Linked DNA regions of Rhinolophus ferrumequinum. The protein of the gene in region 2 binds, or shares a complex with, the protein of the main gene of each other region. Links are inferred from orthologs where the notes say so. Each region holds a gene or a part of one and is shown on either strand. Other genes may lie near its edges.

Region 1 (10,811 bases), on a different chromosome or scaffold from region 2:
TCTGCCCACTCTAAACTCCCACGACACCCTGTTGACACTCTCTTGGGCATGTCCCACCTTCTACCTATGGAGCAATGAACTGGGTTCTCATCTCACCCTTACCAGCTTGATCTCCTCTAGGACAGAGATGATGGTTCAGCCAGATCTGCCGCTACCGCAGGCCTGGCACCAGCTGCAGCATAGAGAAGGGACTCAGGAGGTGTTTGCTAAACTTAAACCAAATTGAATTGAATGGAGGAGAAGAAATCACTGACTTCTTTCCGTACTCGACATGTTAATTCTGTTACTAAAATGGGTCATTTACCTGTGTGTGCACCCCCCACTCCAATCCCCACCCCGCCATGGGCCATCCTCTCAGCCCTGCCCTCTACAAGGAAGATGACTCTTACAGGCTGCATAGCTCAGGCTCCTTTGCCCTCCAGCTACTAATTGGTGTTGGCCAATGGGGAGCACCCACAAGATATCAGAGAATCAGGGAGAGAGGCTGGGGTATTTTTCCTTACCCTCTTCCTGCTCTGGAAGTATTTTCTGCAAATGGCTGTATTCCCTCTGTTCCCCCTTCCTCTCCCTGCTGATTACAGCTCTTTTCTGGTAGCCCCTTATCCACAGCTCAAATTCTCACTGAGTTCCAGAAATACCATTTTGGCCTTTGTTTCTTCAGGACCCTGCCTGCTGTTGCTAGTGTTAGTCTGCTGCAATGTGCTGGTTCGTTCCCTGTCTATACCTTTCTCTGTGAAAAACCCCCTCTCTGCAGTCTCTTGAACCATCTGAGGCAGACTGTTTCCTGTTGGGCACTGGTCCATGATCAGATGTAGCATTCAGATGGGTGCTGGGGGCTTGGTTCTCCGAAGAGGTTTGGGGGAAAATTTTTTTTAAAAGTCCCCTCCAGTCACTCCATCTGTCCAAAAGAGTAATGACCCAGGGCCTAGCACATGGTACAGGCTTGATAGAATTGTTTAAGCAGGTAAACAGGAAGAAAACATGTCAGGAAGAAGGGTTCCAGGAAAGCAGGGAGGCTGCTCATGGGTGCAGTTGTTTACAAGTTAACTTGGAGCACAGAGGTATTGAGGGAAAGGCTGGGGTGAGAAAATGGGGTAGGGCACCCCTATTATCTGAGAGTGGTTCCCACTGTCCCCGCATCCCAGACTCACTGTGTCTTTGGTGAGCAGAAAGTTAAGGTGTCTCCTAGGGGATACCTCTTCCCTGGGGTCCAAATTCAGCTTAGATGTTTGAGGAAGGCTGGGACATTCCTGACCTTCCCCAGATGTGCTCATTTTTCCTTCCCCACTCCATGATCCTGAGGTCTGTGCAGAGGGCCACCTTCCAGCTCCCTGCGCTGCCTCAACCCACCCCAAGGGCTCAGCTAGGTGAAAGAGGCTATGGGTTTCCAGCTGCTGCTTGCTTTGGTGCTACGGGTTTCCGCTGCCACCCTAGAGAGCTGGCCTTTGATTCCCACACCCTCAGCCTCCCCAGAGACACTCTGCAGCAGTACCGTAGCAGTCGCATCCTGTACACCACAGCCCAGAGAGAGCCTTGGAGGGCTCGCTGGTCCCCGAGGTGTCCTGGCAACTCTCTCTCTCTCTCTCTCTCCCTCCCTCCCTCCCCCCTTGTCTCCCTCCCTGCCTTGTTTTTCTGCTCATATCTGTGCATTTATACATCTATGCCTCCCCAAGCTGATGCCTCTGTCTTCAACTCCCTGCATTTGTCTCTCCTCCTCTGTGCGTCATACACCAGGAGGCAATTCTGGCTCTTCTGGTTTCTCTTGGAATGCCCTTTGCCTCTTTTCCTCTTTCATCTCTCCCTTCTCCAGCTGCCACCAAGCTCTAGTTCCTTTTCTTGCCTGTTAACAGGCATCCAGGCCTCTGGCAGGAATGCAGGCTTTCAACAAGCTTTGATCTAAAGGGAGCCTGCAGAGCACAGTCTGGAGCCGAGGGATGGATACAAGGGAGATGGCTGCAGGGTGGACAAAGGGAAAAGGACAGATTCTGAGAAACAGAGGCCCCAAGGACTGATAATGGGAGGCTGGGAGGGAACGCAGAAGGTAGGGAGAGACCCAGAGCAGCTCATTAAAGTAACAGTTACACTCCACACAATCCACGATCACACACAAAGCCCAGGGGAGTACAAACAAGACAGAGGAAGAGGAAAAGTGAGGAGGAAATTCTGAGACGTAAGCTACATGCACAGCGCAGTAGACCAAAAGAGAGACAGAGACCAAGAGAGCGATGAGACCAAAATGGCAACACACACCCGCATACTCAGAGCCGCCGAAGTCCTTGCTGCCCTCACCCTGGCCCCCCGAGATGGGATGAGGAGTGAGACTAGGGAGAGGAAGAGGGCACAGCCCCACCACAGCGACAGTCTGTGGTCCCACAGGCACTTTTATCTTCTCCCCATGGCCCCCAGTCAGCCCCCTCAAGCCCTGTCATGGGATGTGCCCCCACAACACACACTCTCTCTGCTGCTTACTGGCTTCATATAAACTTCCTAGAGACCATGACCTCTGTAAGGGACCCTTGTGGTTCAGTGGCTGCAACCTCCACCATCCTCTCCTTTGCCTCAGACGCCCACGCTGGGGGAGCTGTGCCCTCCCTCTTCCCTCATCCCCCGAAAGGTGCAGAACAGACTTCAACCTTCGAGCCTTACAAACCCAGGCCCCCATCTGCCCCCTCCCAGCACCCACTTTCATTCATAAAACTTACTTTGTTAAACATTTATTGAGTGTCTAAAATGTGCAAGGCCCTTGGTCTACCCAACTCCCTCACTGCCACCTTACCACTATGGCCAGGATCAGGGCCTAAGGCACTGAGAGGCTTTTTCTGCCTAGAACCGGTTAGTGAGGGGAGTTTTTATTTTGAGGTAGACCTCTTCTATATAAGTGCCCCCAAACTGAGAGAGGGAAATCATCTGGTGAGTTATCTATGACCCTATTCTCTGGGAACTCTCTTATTTGAGGTTAAGAGGGCGGCCATTTTGTATGAACCTACAGAATCTAACACAGCCCGAGAAATTATTTGTCAAAACACGAAACAGCAGTGATCTCCCCTATCAACTTCTACTCTCAGCCCCGCACCTCTAAAAATTTGCCCCACAAGAGTAGGACATTCAGGAGGAGAAATTCCAGCCAGAACAAATTCTTTGAATTAGGGAGAATGGGGCCTTTCTATTTTGAGACATCTCACTGTACCAGAGGAGACCTCTCTCCCAGAATACATCTACAAAGGGAAGACAGAAGATGCCTGGGGAACAGGGCTGCAAGGCCATGGAGGTCTTAGAGAGCTAAGGACGAAGGCTGTGGAGTTGTACAGGCTGTCCCATCTTGAGAGGTATCACCTCCTAAGTTGCCCCCACCACGCCTGACCAAGCCCAGGGTAGGGAGGAGGTCTGCAAATCCTTTTCTATCTCCCTAATCTCTTTTTCCAGAGCAGCTAAGACACCTAAAACCAGTTCTCTTAGAACCAATTGTTCCATTGACGTATTTACCTAAAAATACGTATCTATCACATTTACAGCATTTCATACATAAGAGCTCAGTTTCAGTCCTTTTGAGAATGTTAGCTTTCTCATTTTATTAATCATTTTAAAGCTAATTAAAGGGGAAGTGCCTTTAGACATATTGTTCAAAAATCCTAAAAATGCACAGAAGTAGACAAAAATGCACATAAACAGAAAAGACAGTTAATAGAGGCTTCATCAATCATGTGGCTTATGAAATGCTGCAAGTATGATTTCTGGTATGACTTTTTGGTGACTGTGTCATTGGGAAAATTGATTTTGGGAGAATTATCTCTGGACTAGATTCCACTTCTTTTTCTCTTTTTCTTGCTTTTCCCTTTGTTTTCCCCTTTTTTTTGTATAGGCCTCCTCCCTCCTCAATGTTTCGTCATTCTTTCTATTTCTTTCCCACTCCTTCTTTCCTCTTCTTTTCCTCTTTTCCTCTCTTCCTATCTTCATCTCCTCCAGTCCTCATGATTAATTGCCTTCCACTGCCTTTCTCAGCCTGGGGTGGCCTTGAGTCCCCATTTTTTCTGCGATCTTGTAATCCGAGTCAACACCCCTCCGAGGAGCATCTTCTGCTCTGGGCACTGAGCTGTGCCGGCAGGGAGGTGGAGAGGCGCTTGGCATCGGCCCGGCCTCTTGAAGCTCACAGTTCCAGTGGCAGATTGCTGCTCATGGAATGCAAGAGAAAGTGACCAGAGTTGTGGGCAAAGAGCAGGAAGTCCAGCACATTCCAATGCACCTGCTGCCACGTTCTCCTCCCCTTCCCAGGCCCACAGAAAAGAATGAAGCTGAGTCTATCCATCTTACCTCTGGGCCTGTGTCTATCGTCCCCTCTACTTCTGCTTCTGCTTCTCGCACAGGTGTGCCTATGTGAAGGCTGGGAGCTCTGGCACCAGGAGCCCACTGGGGAGAGCGCTTGTTACTCCTGCAGAGACAGGAAGCCCGGTAGTGAGGCTCCTCCAAACCCCAGGCCTGGGCCAGCCCCCAACGTCACCATCTGGGGCTGGGGTCCCCACCCCTTGCCTCTCAGGGAAGATGTCAAAGTGAAAATGTCAAAGTCAAGGGAAAAAGTTAAGCAGAACCAGGCTGGAGCCCAGAGCATCACTGCACTTCTTATTGGGTAGCAAGAAAAAGTGTCACTGCACTTTTTGTTGCGTGGCAAGAAAAAGATTGTGTCAGTGATTCTGCAGTCTGGCCAGGGTTTCAGGGAAACAAGAAGTGGGAGGCAAGTGGAGGGCATATGAGAGCAGTTATGTTAAGACCTCAAGAGCTACTTCCTCCTGGGCCCTAAGGGCACTTGTTCATCACCAGAGGCATTGTAGATGGCCCAGTGTGGCAGAAAGGATCTGGGCTAGAGGAGGATGTCTGAGACACCCAGAATGACAAGGGACCAGACTCTTTTCCTCAGGGCTTTCGTCTCTGGTCAACCCTCAAATTTTTATCTCTAGCCCAGATCTCTCATGAGCTCCAGATATGTCTACCCATCTTCCCACTGGACATCTCCACTTGGATGTTCACCAGACATAGCAAACTCAACACACCCCAAACTAAAGTTATCATCTGCATACTACCCCCCTCTGTTAACCTAAAAATAAAAGGACTTTCAAAGTGAGAGGCAACAAGCATTTATTTGAGATAAAAAGAATAGCTATTCGGGAAGCAATGATTCAGGCAGAAGCCCAAATAATGTTCCAGTTAGGAGACAAAGGCAATGGGTATTTATGAGAAGGGAAAGGAGAACAATTACATTAACAGAAGGAAGGCATTTCTATTGGTGCAGATAACATAACATAGGGATGTTTATTCTAAAGCATCTTTTAATTTTCAGTCCGTTAGCCATCAGTCCAGTAGTCATAATATCTGCTTTCTTCTTATCTTTGCAAACAGTTCTTTGGGAAAAAAATGTTGCTCAGGCTTAGTCCAAAGGTTATTTTGCCCTGTTTTTAACCTTCCACAGGTCTGAGGTATAAGATGTGCAAGGAAGTTCCTCTGGTATAGCAGCTCCAGTTCCATTTTGTTTATTTACATCTTCAATCTTACTTTTCCTTCAAGTCTCCCACTCAGTGAGGGTTTCACCATCCAAGCTGCTCAAGCCAAATAAACTAGGTATAATCTTTGACTCCTTCTTAACCCAGCATCTCCCATGTATTTATTTACCAATTCTGGTGTCTATCACCTTCTAAATAGTTCTGAAGTCTATCTAAGTCAACTGTCCCACTGCCACCATTCCCATCCAAGGTGCCATCATCATCCTTTACCTGGACTATGGCTCCTACCTCCTCACTGGTCTCCTGGCTTCTCCATTCTTCTTCCTCCAGGCCATCTTCTGCACAGTAGCCTGAGTGATCATTTAAATGTGTAAATGTCATCATGCCATTGCCCTACTATGAAAAATAGTGGCGAGTTCATCTTGCAACTCCAACAATTAATACAAGTGTTTCCACTTGAAACAACCATTTGCTTCATTTGCGGCAGAAGTGCTTCTCTCATTTCATAACATTTCATAACAAATGAGAAATGTTATGTCCCATTCCATAACACAATGTACTCAAGGGTTGAAATTTAATAAAATTAATATTTACTGCTTCATCAAGGAAATTCTTAAGTAAAACTGGCATGTTTTTTTCTGTCCTTCCTTTTTTTACTGCAAGTGTCTGGCAGTGAAGAATAAAATGACAATAGTATGGTTTGGCGCCACTGCCTTGATTTGTGCTAAGACAGCAGTCTATCCCAGATTGCTTTTGCAATGTTATTGCAATGTCAACATAGTGACAAAAGCAAATAACATCCCATTATTTTTATAAAAATAGCTGGACCTCCCAAACCCCTTGACAGGGTCTCAGGGACCCCCATGGGCCACACTTTGAGAACTACTAATCTAGAAAATCTTTATTCATTCTTCAGAACTTAACTACCCCTCTGTACAGAACTTTCGTTGTCCCCATAATTTATTTTCTTTTTCTTCCTTAGTAATTCTCTTAATTTTTAGCAGAGCTCATGGCTACCCAGATTTAAGTTATACTTCCCAGCCTCCCTTGCAGCTGGATGTGGCTAACTGAGTCAATTTTGGTTAATGGATGTAAGTGAAAATGTTGGGTGCACCATCTAAGGAGCATCCTTACAGGGAGGGTCTAATTCCCTCATGGGAGGGTGTATGTCCTTCCTCAGGTCTTCAATTCCCTCTTGCAGACTAGAATGCAAACACCCTCCCAATTTTTTACAGGCCACCTGCTTTTCTCATTTACGTTACCTAGCAGGCTCCTATAAGCATTTGAATTTATAATCCCTTATCTACTCTGGTTCTCTCCATTCACTCATACATTCAACAAGTGTTAAGTGTCTATCAGGCCCAAGGTACTCTGCTGGATGCTGGGGATGTTAAGTAAGCTAGACATTGTCAACTGCTCTAGTCCATGACACTTTTACTTAAGAATGTCCTTGATGAAGCTGTAAATATTAATTTTATTAAATATCATACATATAGACACTCACCATTTAATAATTCCATTATGATTGGACAAGTGCTACAAAGGGAGAAGCAGAGTGTTGAGAGAGGTTATCCTAGGGAACCTTATTTCAACTGAGAAAGGCTTCCATGGGAAGTGTATATCAGTAAGCATTGCTACAAATGAAAGAAAATTCAACATGATAGAGGATTGCATGAGACTTGAGTTGATTTCTCAACTGAAAGAAGTCTGGAGGCAGGTGGTTGAGAGGTGAGGGAGGTGAGGGGGCACCACACCACACCCCAGAAGCTGGATTTGTCCTGTTTATATCTTGTTGCTCCCCCATCCTCTACCCATGAACCTTCCTCATAGTCTGAGAAGGCTACTCGAGCTCCTCAGCTGGTATCAGGGTCCCTTATGGTAAAATCTCCCAGTACCCTGCACTGTTTGTCTCCTGGAAACACTAGTCCAAGTGTAATAACTATGGCACTATTGAGTTTTTAGTGTCTGTCTCACAGATTAGAGTAGTGACCATGTCTGCCTTACTTAGCACCCAGCAGGGTGCCTTGGGCCTGGTAGATCCTTAATACTTGTCAAATCTTTGTTTAAAAACATATTAAATTTTATCGATATTTATTGATATTGTTTGTTATGGTAAAATATACATACCATCATAAAATTTACCACTATAACCATTTTTAAGTGCACAGTTCAATGGCATTAAGTATATTCATGTTATGGTACAAACATCATCACCATCCAGCTCCAAAACTTTTCATCTTCTCCAGCTGAAACTCTGTACCTGTTAAACACTAACTTCTCATACCTCCTCCCGCCCCCAGCCCTGGCTGTTGAATACTTTTTGAATGAGTGAAAGAATGAATGAATGAATGAATGAATGAATGAATGAATAGAGAGGGACTGGATTGGATCACAAACTTAAATGCCTACAGGAGCCTGCTAGGTAATATAAATGAGCAAAACAGACTGGTTGTGAACAATAGGGAGAAATGGGGACTGAGATAAGCTAGAGAGTACCTGCCTCATTTCATGAGGGCAGCCACTAACCACACAGCTCCAGCTTTGTACCAGAGGTTGTACCAGAATATGAGCCCAGAGTTGTCAGTTCTGCCAAAATTTTGAGAGAAGATAGAAAACCAGACGTTTATGTAGTATGTCCTAATTTTAATGTTGGCAATTAATTTTGTTGTTTTGTTCTAATACTGGGTAAACCAAACAAAGCATTCCAAGGGCTGTATCTAGCTTAAAGCCCAGCAATTTGCACCTCATGGACCAGACAGACTGTGTGACACCATTCAGCTCTTGGGTCTCTGACCTATGAATGCCTGTGCAGATGGGTTCCCAGGAGTCAACGGGTTTCAAGAACCTGGTTCTCTCCCTGGGATTTCTAAAGAGTTTGTGAAAAGAAAAGAGGAAGAGAGGGCAAGTTTATATTGAATATTTAGAACTGCTGTTTGTTTCATATGGCTGCGTATTTTATTTAATTCTCACAATGATAGGGTACAGGTGTTATGCTCCAGACCGTACAGATAAGGAAACAGAGGCTCAAAGAGTTTAAGAAAATTGCTGAATGTCACAGAAATAGTAACCATAACTGATGGAACTGGGATTTGAACTTTTGCTTGGACCCCATGCCTGGATTATCCCCCTCACCCCACTGCCTCTTCTCTGCATTAAGAAAGGTTAGGATGGGAGGCTGGTTAGCTTAGTTGGTTAGAGTGCGATGCTCGTAACACCAGGGTTGCCTGTTCGATCCCTGCATGGGCCAATGTGAGCTGCGCCTTCCACCACTAGATTGGGACAACTACTTTACTTGGAGCTGATGGGTCCTGGAAAGACACAAAAAATAAATAAATAAAAGTTTAAAAAGAAAGAAAGACAGAAAGACAGAAAGACAGAAAGACAGAAAGACAGACAGAAAGAAAGGCTAGGATGATGACTAAGATGTTTTCTCCCATAACAGTGGAGAGGTAGGAGGCCAACAACCTCATCTGGAGCATCTGAGGCTTAGCATCACCATGATCCCTGATATGTGTAGAGTGATTTTCCATTTTCAAAGCACTTTCATATACATTAGCACATACCACACCTTTTTGGCAAGTATTACTATCCTCATTTTACAGAAGAAGAAACTGAAGTTAATCTGCCCCATGATATGACTGTAAGCATAAAGCATGGGGATTTCTAGAAGTCTTCTGATTCCTGGTTGAGAGATATTTTTGCTGCATGGATTCTGTCTCCAGGCTGGAAGAAGAGGAGAAGGTCAAGTGGGGAGAAAGAAAGGGGAAGCAGAAGGAAGCCAGCATCAAGGCTGACAGAGTGTTGGAGGCCTGCCATTGGGGAAGGGGTAGGGCCACCTGTGGAAGCCTGTGGACGGGAAGTTGGAAGCCCCAGGTGCAGTCCTGTGGTGGCCTCCTTACCAGAAACATCTACAGCTGCACTGACAGCCTTTGCAAGGGGGTTGGGGGAAGGGCTTGAAAATTTGGGAGGTGGGGAGGGGCCACAGAGGCTGTTCTCTGAGAAGCAGAGTCTTGGAGAGCTGACCCACTTCCACCCTGGCCACATTCTCCCTAGCTCCATAACCACTTTCTGCATCTCTCAGAGGGTGGTTCCTGGGCCTCCCGCACTCCATGGGAGCTATGAGCAGGCAAATTTCAGAGCTCAGCCTGGGTTCAGCCAGCTGGCACCTGCAGTCCTTTGGAGAAACTGTCAGCCACAGAGTTGAGCGGATAGAACCCATCCTCATCCCCACCCCAGCCGCATTCCTTTCAAAGGGCGAACTCCATCTTGGGGTGGGCCCAAGCAAGACACCTAAGCTCCTTGCTTACCTCCTTTGTGGGAGGAATTACAACAGGGGCCCAGGTCTGAACTCTAATACCTCTGCCTGGTGAGGGAGGTGGGGCACGGAAATTTTTGGGCCTCCCCTGCACCATATAGATAAAAAGACGAGGTTAAGGGTGGGGGGGACACACTGGCAAATGTGACCACAGGTCTGAATGAGCACAGCATGGCCTCTTGCCTGACCCACTTGACTTGGCAAGGCTCTGGACCTCATTTGGCATCCAGAACTTCTGGAGAGTGGACAATAGAGTAGGCTATCAGGTCCATGGCAGGACTGGGGGTAGAGGTACTCAGAGATACCTCTTCCTCTCTCATGGCCTGTCTCTCTTATGGTGAGTGTTTCCCACTGTGATAGCCATGATGCAAGATGGCCCCCAATGATTCCTGACTCCTTCATTTCACATCCTTATGTTTTCCCCTCCCACAGTGTACCAGCCTTGGTCTGTGTGACCAATAGAATAGGGCAGAAGGGGCAGTATGTCACTTTCCAGATTAGGTTATGAAAGCATGGTAGCTTTTGTCTTGGCCATTCTCTCCTTCTAGGAGAAGCCAGTTGCTATGTCATGAGTGACCCTAAGAAGAGGCCTATGTGGGGGTGGGGCAGAACTCACTAACATCTCTGGCCAGCAGCCACCTAAGGATCCTTCTTGGAAGCAGATCCTTCAGTCCAGCCAAGCCTTCAGCCCTGGCCCACATCTTGGCAGCAACCTCACTAGAGACCCTGCTTCAGAACTACTCAGCTCAGCTGCTCCTGGATTCCTGACCATGTGAAATAATATGTTTACTGTTTTAAATTACTGAGTTTTGGAGTGATTTGTTATGTACCAATAGAAAACCAATATACCCCTTTCTTTTTAACCGGGACCTAAGATGATTCCTCCCCCATCCCCCATGGGCCCCACCTAGCTCCCTGCCTCCTTGATGTTTCTTCCCCTCCAGGTCGCCAGCCTGGAACACTGGTTCACAGATAAACTTGGAGATGCTTGATGAATTAACCTAGCT
Region 2 (10,102 bases):
GCCGTAAGCAGAAATGTCTGGATGCTGATGGGAACCACTTTGAGCACCTCTTGTAATTGCAGAAGTCAGACGTGACTTGTATTCATCTTTTGTTATCGGTATCTATTGAGCATTACAATTTGAATAGTTTTTCCTTTCTTAAAATGTGTATACATTTTTTGACAGCCTCTGTATTTATCTAAAATGAAACTTGACTACCATAAATGGAAAATCAGTATCACCAGCCATAAATAGAAATCAGTATACATTAAAATAAACACTTAATATGGGGCCGGCCCAGTGGCTCAGGCGGTTGGAGCTCTGTGCTTCTAACGCTGAAGGCTGCCTGTTCAATTCCCACATGGGCCAATGGGTTCTCAACCACAAGGTTGCCGGCTCGACTCCTCGACCCCTCGACCCCTCAACCACAAGGTTGCCAGTTCGACTCCTCAACCCCCGCAAGGGATGGTGGGCTGTGCCCCCTGCAACTAACAACAACTGGACCTGGAACTGAGCTGCGCCCTCTACAACTACGATTGAAAGTTCAACAATTTGACTTGGAAAAAGTCCTGGAAGTACACAGTGTTTCCCAATAAAGTCCTGTTCCCCTTCCCCAATAAAATTTTTTAAATAAATAAATAAACACATAATATGATACAAAAATTCACATTTGTAAACGTCCATTCATTACCCCCTAAAATCACTCACCCTCATCAATGATACACAGGCCATATTTGGGGAAATGCTGTACTGTGAGACAGAACTTTGGGCTTAGGCCTCTGTTGGTGAGCTAGAAGAAGCACAATTTTCTTAATTGGCCAGTCTATTGATGAAAATGTAATGGGTACCTCTTATGTGGCAAGCCCTGATCTAACGCTGGGGACACAGAAGATTCCCGTCCACTTCATCCTGCCCTCTGACAGAGGTGGGTGCCGCTCTGGCGGAGCACTCTTTTACAGGAAGCCATAATGCTTGTCTTTACTTTAGCTCACTGATCAGTAATGTCTGACTCCAACACTAACACTAACAACACAAAACAGCAATACTTGCCAGGAAGTAGCGTCTCAAAATCACCACCATTACTCACTTACCAAGTTAACGAAGTCTAGTTAAAACTGTTAAAAATATGGGGTAGATCTCCATGTATTGACATGGAAAAATGTCACAGACATAACAGGGTAAGAAGTTACAAAACAGAATGTAGAATATAAGCCTATTTGCATTTCAATATGTATATATAGGGGATTCTTTTAAGCCGGGCTCTGTGCAAAGCCTTTATTTGCATAGTTTCATGTAATTCTCATAATAATTCTATGAAGTAAGTGCTATTATTATCCCCATTTTGCAGAGGCAAAAACTGAGGCTCAAACGGGGTAAAGCGATTTGTCTGAGGCCTCATAACAAACAAATAAGTGGTGGAGTGGCAATTTGAGCCTTGTTCTGCCTGTCTCCAGAGACTAGGTTCTTAACCGCTAGGCTTTTCAGTAGCCATACATAAGAAATTCTGGAAGGACGCTCACCAAATTGTTCATAGTGAGCATATCCCAGAAGTAAGATTGGAGGGAGCTGCATTTCTTGTATTTCTTTATATGCCTCTATACTGTTTGAAGTTTTAAAAACAACTGTGTGCTAATTTTGTACTTGAAAAGCAAAAAACAATAAAACCACCACCAATGCAAACACTGCCAGAAGAGGATCATTTGAGGAGGATCAATAGCCTGCCCTTCCATTCCTCTCCTTGTCTCAAGAACTGTAACCATGGAAGAGGTACTACTGGAAAAAGGTTCTGCGACCAAGGAAGTTTGGGAAACATTGGGTTAGATAAAATCAATCTGGCTCCTTCTGAAGGGACTTTCAGAGCTTTCACAAGCTTGACTGTGAAGTTAATACAAGACAGTTTGTAGCTGAGGCCATGTTGATTTGGCCCGAGAACCTTTTCTTTCCAGGCACCTCTGGAAATAACATTCTTTAGAGCAAGCATTGGAAATGCAACTCCAGATGCTTTAAAACCAACACTGAACTTGGTTGTTAGAGAAGGCCACATCCCTGGATATTGTTGTGGTCCTACGTGTCCCCATGCCCCCCATACACTCAGCTTCTCTGAGCATTGCTTTCACTGAATGAAGCTTGGCCTTGAAGCCATCAGCTTGTGGGTGTGTGTATGGATTTGTGGGGTCCAGTGTGTGTTGTATGTGTAGACCCTGCCTCTGCCTCTGAACATACATGCAAACACACACAGACACACACACACACACACACACACACACATTTTCCACTGACAATATGTATGGTGTTTGGGATAGGGTGTGTATGTGTGCGTGTGTATACCCTGCTTCCCCAAAAATAAGACCTAGCCGGACCATCAGCTCTAATGCGTCTCTTGGAGCAAAAATTAATATAAGACCTGGTATTATATATTATACTATATTACATTATATTATATTATATTATATTATATTATATTATACTATACTATAAAGACCCGCTCTTATTTTACTATAAGTATAGTAAAATATAAATATAGTAAAATAAGACCGAGTCTTATATTAATTTTTGCTCCAAAAGATGCATTAGAGCTGATTGCCCAGCTGGGTCGGTCTTATTTTCGGGGAAACATGGTAACTGTGTGTGGGACCCTCCTTTAAGGTAGATCTGTGGCCCGGTCTAGAATTCTCACACCCATTATACACAGGAAACAAGCTAATTTGCAAAGCCACAGCACAAGTGTGAGGGAATGGGTGGTTCACTGGCCTCCCAAAGCGCTGAGTAGGAGTAATTCTGGGTGTGGACAGTCCTCCGTTTGGTAAACTACTTGCAGGAGGAGAGAGTGTCAAACCTCTGTCAAGCAACTACTATGTGTCAGAAAGATTCCTGGGTCCCCTGACTTAAGCCTGTTCATCACCCTGCTCCATGGGGGTCACAGCCTAGACCATTACAGGGCACATCACAGTCATTATTATCTCTTTGATTACCCACAAGCACTCTGTAAGAGAGAAATTCATTATTGCTTCTATACAGATAAGTAAACTGGAGTTCGGGGAGGTGAAGCCACTCGTTCAAGGAAATAGCAGAACTGGAATAGTACCTTAGCCTGCCCGACTCTGAAACGCATGCTCTTTGCATTGACTCTTGCATTTGATCTTGCTTGCAGGTCTCTGACCTCATGGTACCCAAAGAACAGAACCCAGGGACAGTGACCTTGGCTTCATGTCCTGGGAACTTTCCAAAATGGACCTTTGTCCTTCTCAGAACTGCGCTGACTCTTCCAGGAAGCCTTCCAGGTAACCTAAGGGATGGCTTCTCCCAACCTCTAATGCTCAGCCTGTCTTCGTGCCCATCACTTGGCCCTTTTACCCTTTGAGAAGAACCACTCTCCCTGAGCCCCAAGGATGAGGAGCCCTGAGTCATCTACAAGCATAGGCTGGATGGGGGTAGGGGGCCTGCTCATGCCTGTTCAGGGTGTGGATGAGCCCCCCTGAAGTGCAGGAAGAGCCAGCGTGTTCCTCAGCCCCCACAAAAGTCTGCAGGCCTTGGAGCTGGGGACAGGAGAAGGCTGGGACGTGCTGACTAGGTGGAAATTGTGTGTCAAGAAAAACTCCAATGGCAGGGGAAACCTGGAAAGTCTGGTGCAGGTGGGGACTCTCCCCATAAACTGAAGGCTGAGAGTTGCACAGTGAGGGGGTGGGCAGGTAGCTGACTATGCTTTCCTGGGGTTTGAAGCAGGAATAATCCGCAGGACCAACTGGCCCTACACATGTAGGAGCTGTGTGTGTGGCTGCAGCAGGAGTGAGCGAGGGGAGAGGGGAGGACATCCTGCGACACTTGGCAGGGGTAGGGATGGCAGCTTTCCAGATGGGAGCTCAGACGGTCCTCGCCCAGGGCCAACTGCATCCCTGTCCTGGATAAAAATAGCCCTTCCTCTCACCTTCTCCCCTCATTCTCTCCCCTCCGACTTCCCAGCTTCCGGTCAGATACTTCCGCCCTGGAGGCCCCATTCCAGATGATAAATGTGCCCTCGCATTTCCATCTGCTCCAAACGGGAGACACCTCCCTCTCCCAAGCAGTGCTGGTCACTGAGGCTAAAATCACTTCACACGTGTCCATTTGGATGGTCTGGGTGACTCTGATCTCTTTCAGGAGATTTTTGTCCCTGGGCTCTGACCCAGCAACCAGAAGGATTCCTGGATCCCCTGACTCAAGCCTTTTCCTCTCCCTGCTCCATGGTGGAGTGGGGGTCATAGCCTACACCATCACCCTTTCCCAGGGCTCTGCCACTGCCTTGCTGAGGGACAGCAGGGAGGGAGTGCCTTTGCCCTCTCTGGGACTCAGGAGGCTCATCCACCATGGGATGAGGGACTGGACTTGGGGATTTCTGAAGGCTTTGTCAATACCCGACAGGCCATGTGCCAGATATCCCAGTGAGGTGGAGGTGGATGGCCGGCCCTGTGGCAGAACCAAGAGCCAACAGCTACAGAGGAAAGAATTGATCTGGCTGCACTGCATGCCTCCTACCTGACCTCCAGCAAGTTTCTTCTGTGCCCCCAACCCCAAGACTGAAGGGCTGCTGCATACCCAAGGAGCCTGGCCCCGTGCCCAGCTGCAGCCCCCTGCCATCAGGCCCCCACCAGCCCCATGGACCTCTGTCCCGGTACTCCTTACCTGCCCAGCCCAGGAGCCCTCTGGCCCCATTCACATGGTCCTCCTGGCCCAGCCTGGCTGCCCAGACAGAGTTTCAGCTCCCCTCACCGTCGTAGCCACCACCTGACTCCTCGCGCCCACGTCCCACCCTGACTTCCTGCCTCCTCCTGAGGGCTCCGCAGTCAACCGGGCCCCAGCAGCCCAACCACAAGCCTCTAGCACCCCAAGCTTCCTGCCACCATAGCCCCCCAACCCTCAGTCTCTGGGGGTCCTGTACGTCTCCAGGCCAGGCCCTGCTCACCCTGAGGGTGGTACTTGGAGGTGAAGGGAGGATATTTGATGGAACCTCCCTCCTGCCCTCCAGGATACACCTGGACAAAAGATTCAAGGGCAGCCTTTAAACCCCAATGAGCAAGGGCACGCAGACACACCCTCAGCTGTCAGTGAAAGGCAAGAAGCACTGTTGTCACAGTCTGCGAGCTGAAGGACCCTTTCATTACAGTCTGAGGGCAAAGGTAACATCATTTCAGGGGCAAAGGGGAGGACAATACCTCTGTTAAGTAGTTGGAGAGCAGAACACCCACGTTTCAAACATCAAGCTAACATGGCTGCTATAGTCGGAATAATAGCCATGTCATCTCAGGGCACAGGACAACAGCTTTATTATTGTCAGAGGGTAGGCTAACACTCCTGTTATAGACAGAATGCAGGACAACAAGCTGTTTAAGGAAGAAGGCAGGATAACGCTGTGTCTTTAAGAGGACAGGACGACACCCACTAATGATGGTTGGAGAGTTGGGGAACAATTCTAATTCAGGTAGTGGCAAGGCCACCAACCCTATTAGAGGTGCAGAGCCTGGCACCACCTCCCGCAACAGGTGGAAGCTAGAACAAACACTCCTTCTCAAGCACCCAGATGCAAGCAGCAGACTGGCAGCATTTTCTGTTACAGGCAGGAACCTTGTCACAGCAGCAAGCAGGCCAAGAATCTCCCTTTACCCGGAGGCCACACTGAGGGTGGCACCCATCATAGTCTGAGGGCCAGGTCATCAGTGTTATGAGGAGCTCCAGGTGGCCTTTATCAGGCCCAAGAGCTGGGCCTTGACCCCACCCAGAGGAAAGTATAAACACGTCACCACTGCCTGAGCCTACACTGAGTGAGCAGTTTGGGGGAAGGGAGCCCACAGAGCATTGTTGGGGTTTGTGAGGTGGAAGCTGATGCTGTGTGCACCTCAGCTGCAGAGGGAAGGGGGAGACAGGAAGTGGGTGGGGGGAAGAGGAAGCCTGAGTTGGAAAGTCAGACAAAGAGGGTAACACAGAAACAAAGACTGAGAGATACAAAGTGAAAAAAAACACAAAACCCAACTACAGTGACACAGAGCCCATAGTCTGGGCTGCAGGCGTCAGCAACCCTAGCTATGAACCTGAGCATGGCACAGGCCATCTCTGGGTTCAGCACAATAGTAATAACACCACTGCTGATAGTAAGGATAAGCAACAGATAGTTCACATTTACTGAGTGCTTACTGTGCATTCTCCCACTTACGAAACATCCACCTACTTGGGGAGTGAGAATTAGCACTGCCATTTTAGAGGTAAAGGAAATGATTCAGGAATTAAGGGACCTTCTCAAATCTGATAGAAACAAATGGGGGAGCTGCCTTTGAGTCCAGTTCTACCGGATTCTGCATTCTTCAGCTGCCCACGTACCCAAGTCACCTTCCATGGACGTGATTTAGGATTTTAAGTTTTTCCCCAGTTCTGATCTTGATAAGATAGAGCCATAGAGCTGGAGCTGTGGGGGAAATGAGGATCCATCAGTTCATTTCCACCCCAACCCAGGTCTTCTCTCTTGCAACGGAATCCCTGGTCCCAGCAACAGATAACACTTGACGACCTTGAACCTGAATAATGGCTGCGGAGACCTTGATGGGAAGCAGAGAGGGCATTTATTGAGGAGCCTGGTGGGTGTCTGTGAGCTCCTCCCCTAACACACACACACACACACACACACACACAACTGGGGCAGCAGCAGGGACAGGATGCTCTCAGAGCCCAGTGTGTACCCATCAACCCTCCTCCCTCACCAGGTGCTGGCGCCTCTGGGGCACCCCTTGCTTCCCCCTTTCCAGGTGGGCTGAGGAAGAGGTAGTGGGTGGCCCAGGAGGCATACAGGCACCCCTCAGCAGAGGGTGAAGCGCCGAGCACTGAGGTTCATGCGTGTGAGGCCGAGGTGCCGCAGCGGTGGGGGCAGGGCCAGGCCGGCCCCTGGCTCCAGCTCCAGCTCCAGCTGGGCCTCATCCAGCAGCTCTTGGTGCAGGTGACAGGCTTGGTCCACCTTCAGCCGGTGCAGCTGGGCCCGCAGGTGAAGCAGTTGCCCGGCCAGCTGCTGGTCCTGAGCCTGCATCTCCTGCTGTGGCAGAGAGGGGGCCTTTAGCCTGCTGCACCAGCGCTCAGCTGCTAGCCCTGTTCTTCCCTTCCTGTCAACACCCTGGGGCCTTGCACTGGATGTGTCCTCCACACCCCCTCTCACCCCAGCTTGATCCTCCCCTCTCTCTGCTCTTGCTCCATACCGATGGTTCTAAAACTAAGACAAGGAGCCATTGTTAAACACGTTCCTGGGGCCCCATCCCAGATAACTAAGTGGAATCTCCAATATGGAGCCTGGACATCTTTATATTTGTACATGTTAGGGTAAAAACCACCTATTTCATCTTTGCCTCCTCAGATTCTGTCTACAGCATGGTACTGACCATGCTCATTTTGTACTGACCTCATTTTGTACTTCACAGTGTCTTTGGGATATAGCAAATTCCCAGAGTAGGGGAGGCCATGCCTTTCCCATCTATACTGTCTCCTGAGCCAAAGAAGCACAAGGTCAGCAGACTGAATGGAATCCTTCAGCAAGGCTCCTGAATAAAACACTGAACAAATCCATTCCTGCTCCTCAGCCCCCAGACACAGCCATAGGAGTGGGCAGTTGCTGGAGGTGGGGTCCATTCTCATCTTTGCCCCTCACCTGTGGTCTTGGGCCCTTAGAAGTGCTATCCCAAGGCCCTCTGCAAGGCTGCCCACCCCACCAGACTCACCAGCTCTCGTCGGAGCCACTCAAGGGCAGAATCCACTGAGTCAAAGCCGCAGATGGCCCCAGGTCCCCCCAGCCCAGATCTGGCTTGGGCCCTCCGCCAGGCCTGGCTCTGGACCCGGGCTGTCCACTCCAGATATGAGGGCCGCCGTGTCTGCAGCTGCAGCTTAGCCGTCAGCGCCTTCACAGAGTCTAGGCTCTCTTCCTCCTCATCCTCCTTTTCTTCACCCACTGCCTGGAATTTCAGTGGCCCCAAGGACATGGTGGGTTTGGGGTAAGTGACAAAAGGCTACAGCTCTGGAATTAGGGAAAGCCTGGCAATATTGTTCAGGGAGAAGTGGCAAAAGCTGAAAGAAGTGTGCCAGGGAGTGTGTGTGTGTGATAGTGAATGCTCAAGGTGGCTGGAAGAGGCTGAGTGTATCAGGGTGGGTGAGTAGATGGGTATGGGAGGCCGAGTGTGCAAGGGCTGGGATTTTCCTGGACTGTAACCCTGGAGCCACGTGATGCCCATCTGGGTGGTGACAGGAGGAGCCCTGATCCTCTAGCCCCTTGGATGAATTTTATTGTCTTTGCCCAGAAGGAGACACCCAGTTCCCAGAAAGGAAGTTGCTGCAGGATAAGAAAAGCATCATCCACACCAGAGTCTTGGCCCTTTTCCCAACACCCAAGTAAGGGAGTGGGGGAGGGGATAGAAGGCTGACAAGCTGGCCCCATCGTCACTCATGGCATTGGTCCTTCAGCAAAGGAATAGTGGCCAGAGTCCTGGCCTGGGAGTCGGGAGACTTGGGTTCTGGTGCTGGATGTGGGGTCTCGACAAGTCACTGACTCTCTGTTGGGGCAGATCAAAGATTTCAAACTGTACTCTAAGGAACTTCAGGTTCCCTTGGAAATCCCTCAGAGACAGTGCCGGGTGAGGACAGAGCTGTGGATGGGCTCTTAGACCTGCCTCTCCTGGAGGGCCTCTCCCAGGGCTTTAACCAGAGCAGTTCCCTTTTGTAAACTTTGTACTGAAAAATAACATACACACAGAAAAATTCACCTATCATAAGTACACGGCTTGATGAATTCTCCCAAACTGAACACACATATGTAACCAGCACCCAGGTCAAGCAGCAGAGTTCTGTTTTACTAGCATCCAGGCTGGTACAGCCTTTGTGCTCCTGGCCTGTCACTTCTCTCCGAAGAGTAATACTACTCTAATTTCCAACAGCATAGATTAGTTTAGCCTTTAAAAAAAAAAACAAAAACACCTTTCTAGTGGTTATCAATCTGTAGCATGCATTGGAATCACCTAGAACACTTCTTTAAAAATACTGTCAGCCCCACTCCCAGAGTTTCTTATTTAGTATATGTGGGGTCAGGGGTGGGCCTCATAATTTGCACTTCTAACCAATTCCCATCCCGGCTGGTGCTGCTGGTCTGGAATTTTACAGTTTGTACTCTATTATCTGGTTCCTTTCATAGAGTAGTTCCAATTTTATGTTTATATTATGAGGGTCCATGTATGATTTTTTTTTTTTGAAAGAAGGGTTTTGCATGCCTCCTTCCCCGCTCCCCAACACACACAAGAGCTTGGAACCTAGTGGACCAGAAGGCCCTTTGAAGGCAGGAGTGGGTCTTCTTCCTCTTATGGTAATCAGCACTTAACACAGCTGTAGACATCAGTGTTTAAGAAATGAAAGAATTAGATGGATGAGTCCTCCAGTAAATCGGTTTAATCTCGTGTAATTTACCAGAACTGAAAACCTTATGAACAGAACCCTCCTCAGTCACCTTTGGGTTCCAACACCAAATATGGAACCCAGCTCAGTGTACCTGCAATTCATATGTGTTCAAAGGATGAAGTGATAGAGCATGGGGCTCCAGAAGGCAGGACTAAATCAGAAGTGGCCCCTATAGAGGGCGCCCTCAGGCAGAGACTTCCAGCTGTGGTAGGGGGAAGGAGCCGACTACACAGCTGCTTGCATTTAAGGTGGACCAAGGGATTTTCCCCCACCAGCCTCAGATATAGGGAGGAAGTAGGCAGTTACGTTTCACGCCCACACTTTCCACCCCTTCCACCAGGTCTAGGAGAAAAGATGGCATTTTTCTCTCCTTTTTAAATCAGCTGGAGTGTCAACATCCCAGTGTAAAAAATAAAAAAAATATTGAGTGCTTCCTGCAAATCAGGCGAGGTCAAGGGCTTAAGCAAGATTATTCTCCCCATTTCACAGATGACAAAATTGAGGTTTCCTTAACAGGCTCTGACTGGCGTCCACGCTAAGAGGTGCTGGCAATAAGAAGGGGAAATTCCTGTGATACTGTTCAATCTCTTCCTTCAAGGGGCCTCCTTAACAGCTGTCTTGCCGGCGTCGCCAGCTGCCCAGCCAGTTCCTGTCCATTTCAGAGCCCGCGCTCTTT

The links. Proteins that work in one complex are often made in the same cells at the same time.
Region 1: the proteins of LCK (region 2) and CD4 are in contact, whole or in part, in an NMR structure (PDB 1Q68), measured with the Homo sapiens proteins. The link is inferred for Rhinolophus ferrumequinum from reciprocal best matches to the Homo sapiens genes LCK and CD4. Residues at the interface, in NP_001036236.1 of Homo sapiens: Glu15, Ile17, Val19, Cys20, Asn22, Cys23, Tyr25, Pro26, Ile27, Val28; in NP_000607.1 of Homo sapiens: Ala429, Arg431, Ile435, Leu438, Leu439, Lys443, Thr444, Cys445, Gln446, Cys447.

What each region holds. Positions count from the first base shown.
Region 1 is NC_046293.1:23,978,356-23,989,166, reverse strand, and holds the start of CD4 (T-cell surface glycoprotein CD4), read right to left. Parts: upstream 4,591-10,811; 5' UTR 4,309-4,590; intron 1-4,308. UniProt on the Homo sapiens protein: Integral membrane glycoprotein that plays an essential role in the immune response and serves multiple functions in responses against both external and internal offenses.
Region 2 is NC_046292.1:22,134,190-22,144,291, reverse strand, and holds the start of LCK (tyrosine-protein kinase Lck), read right to left. Parts: upstream 4,765-10,102; 5' UTR 4,639-4,764; intron 1-4,638. Other genes in the region: protein FAM167B, read right to left, coding at 6,800-7,030, 7,707-7,964. UniProt on the Homo sapiens protein: Non-receptor tyrosine-protein kinase that plays an essential role in the selection and maturation of developing T-cells in the thymus and in the function of mature T-cells. Plays a key role in T-cell antigen receptor (TCR)-linked signal transduction pathways.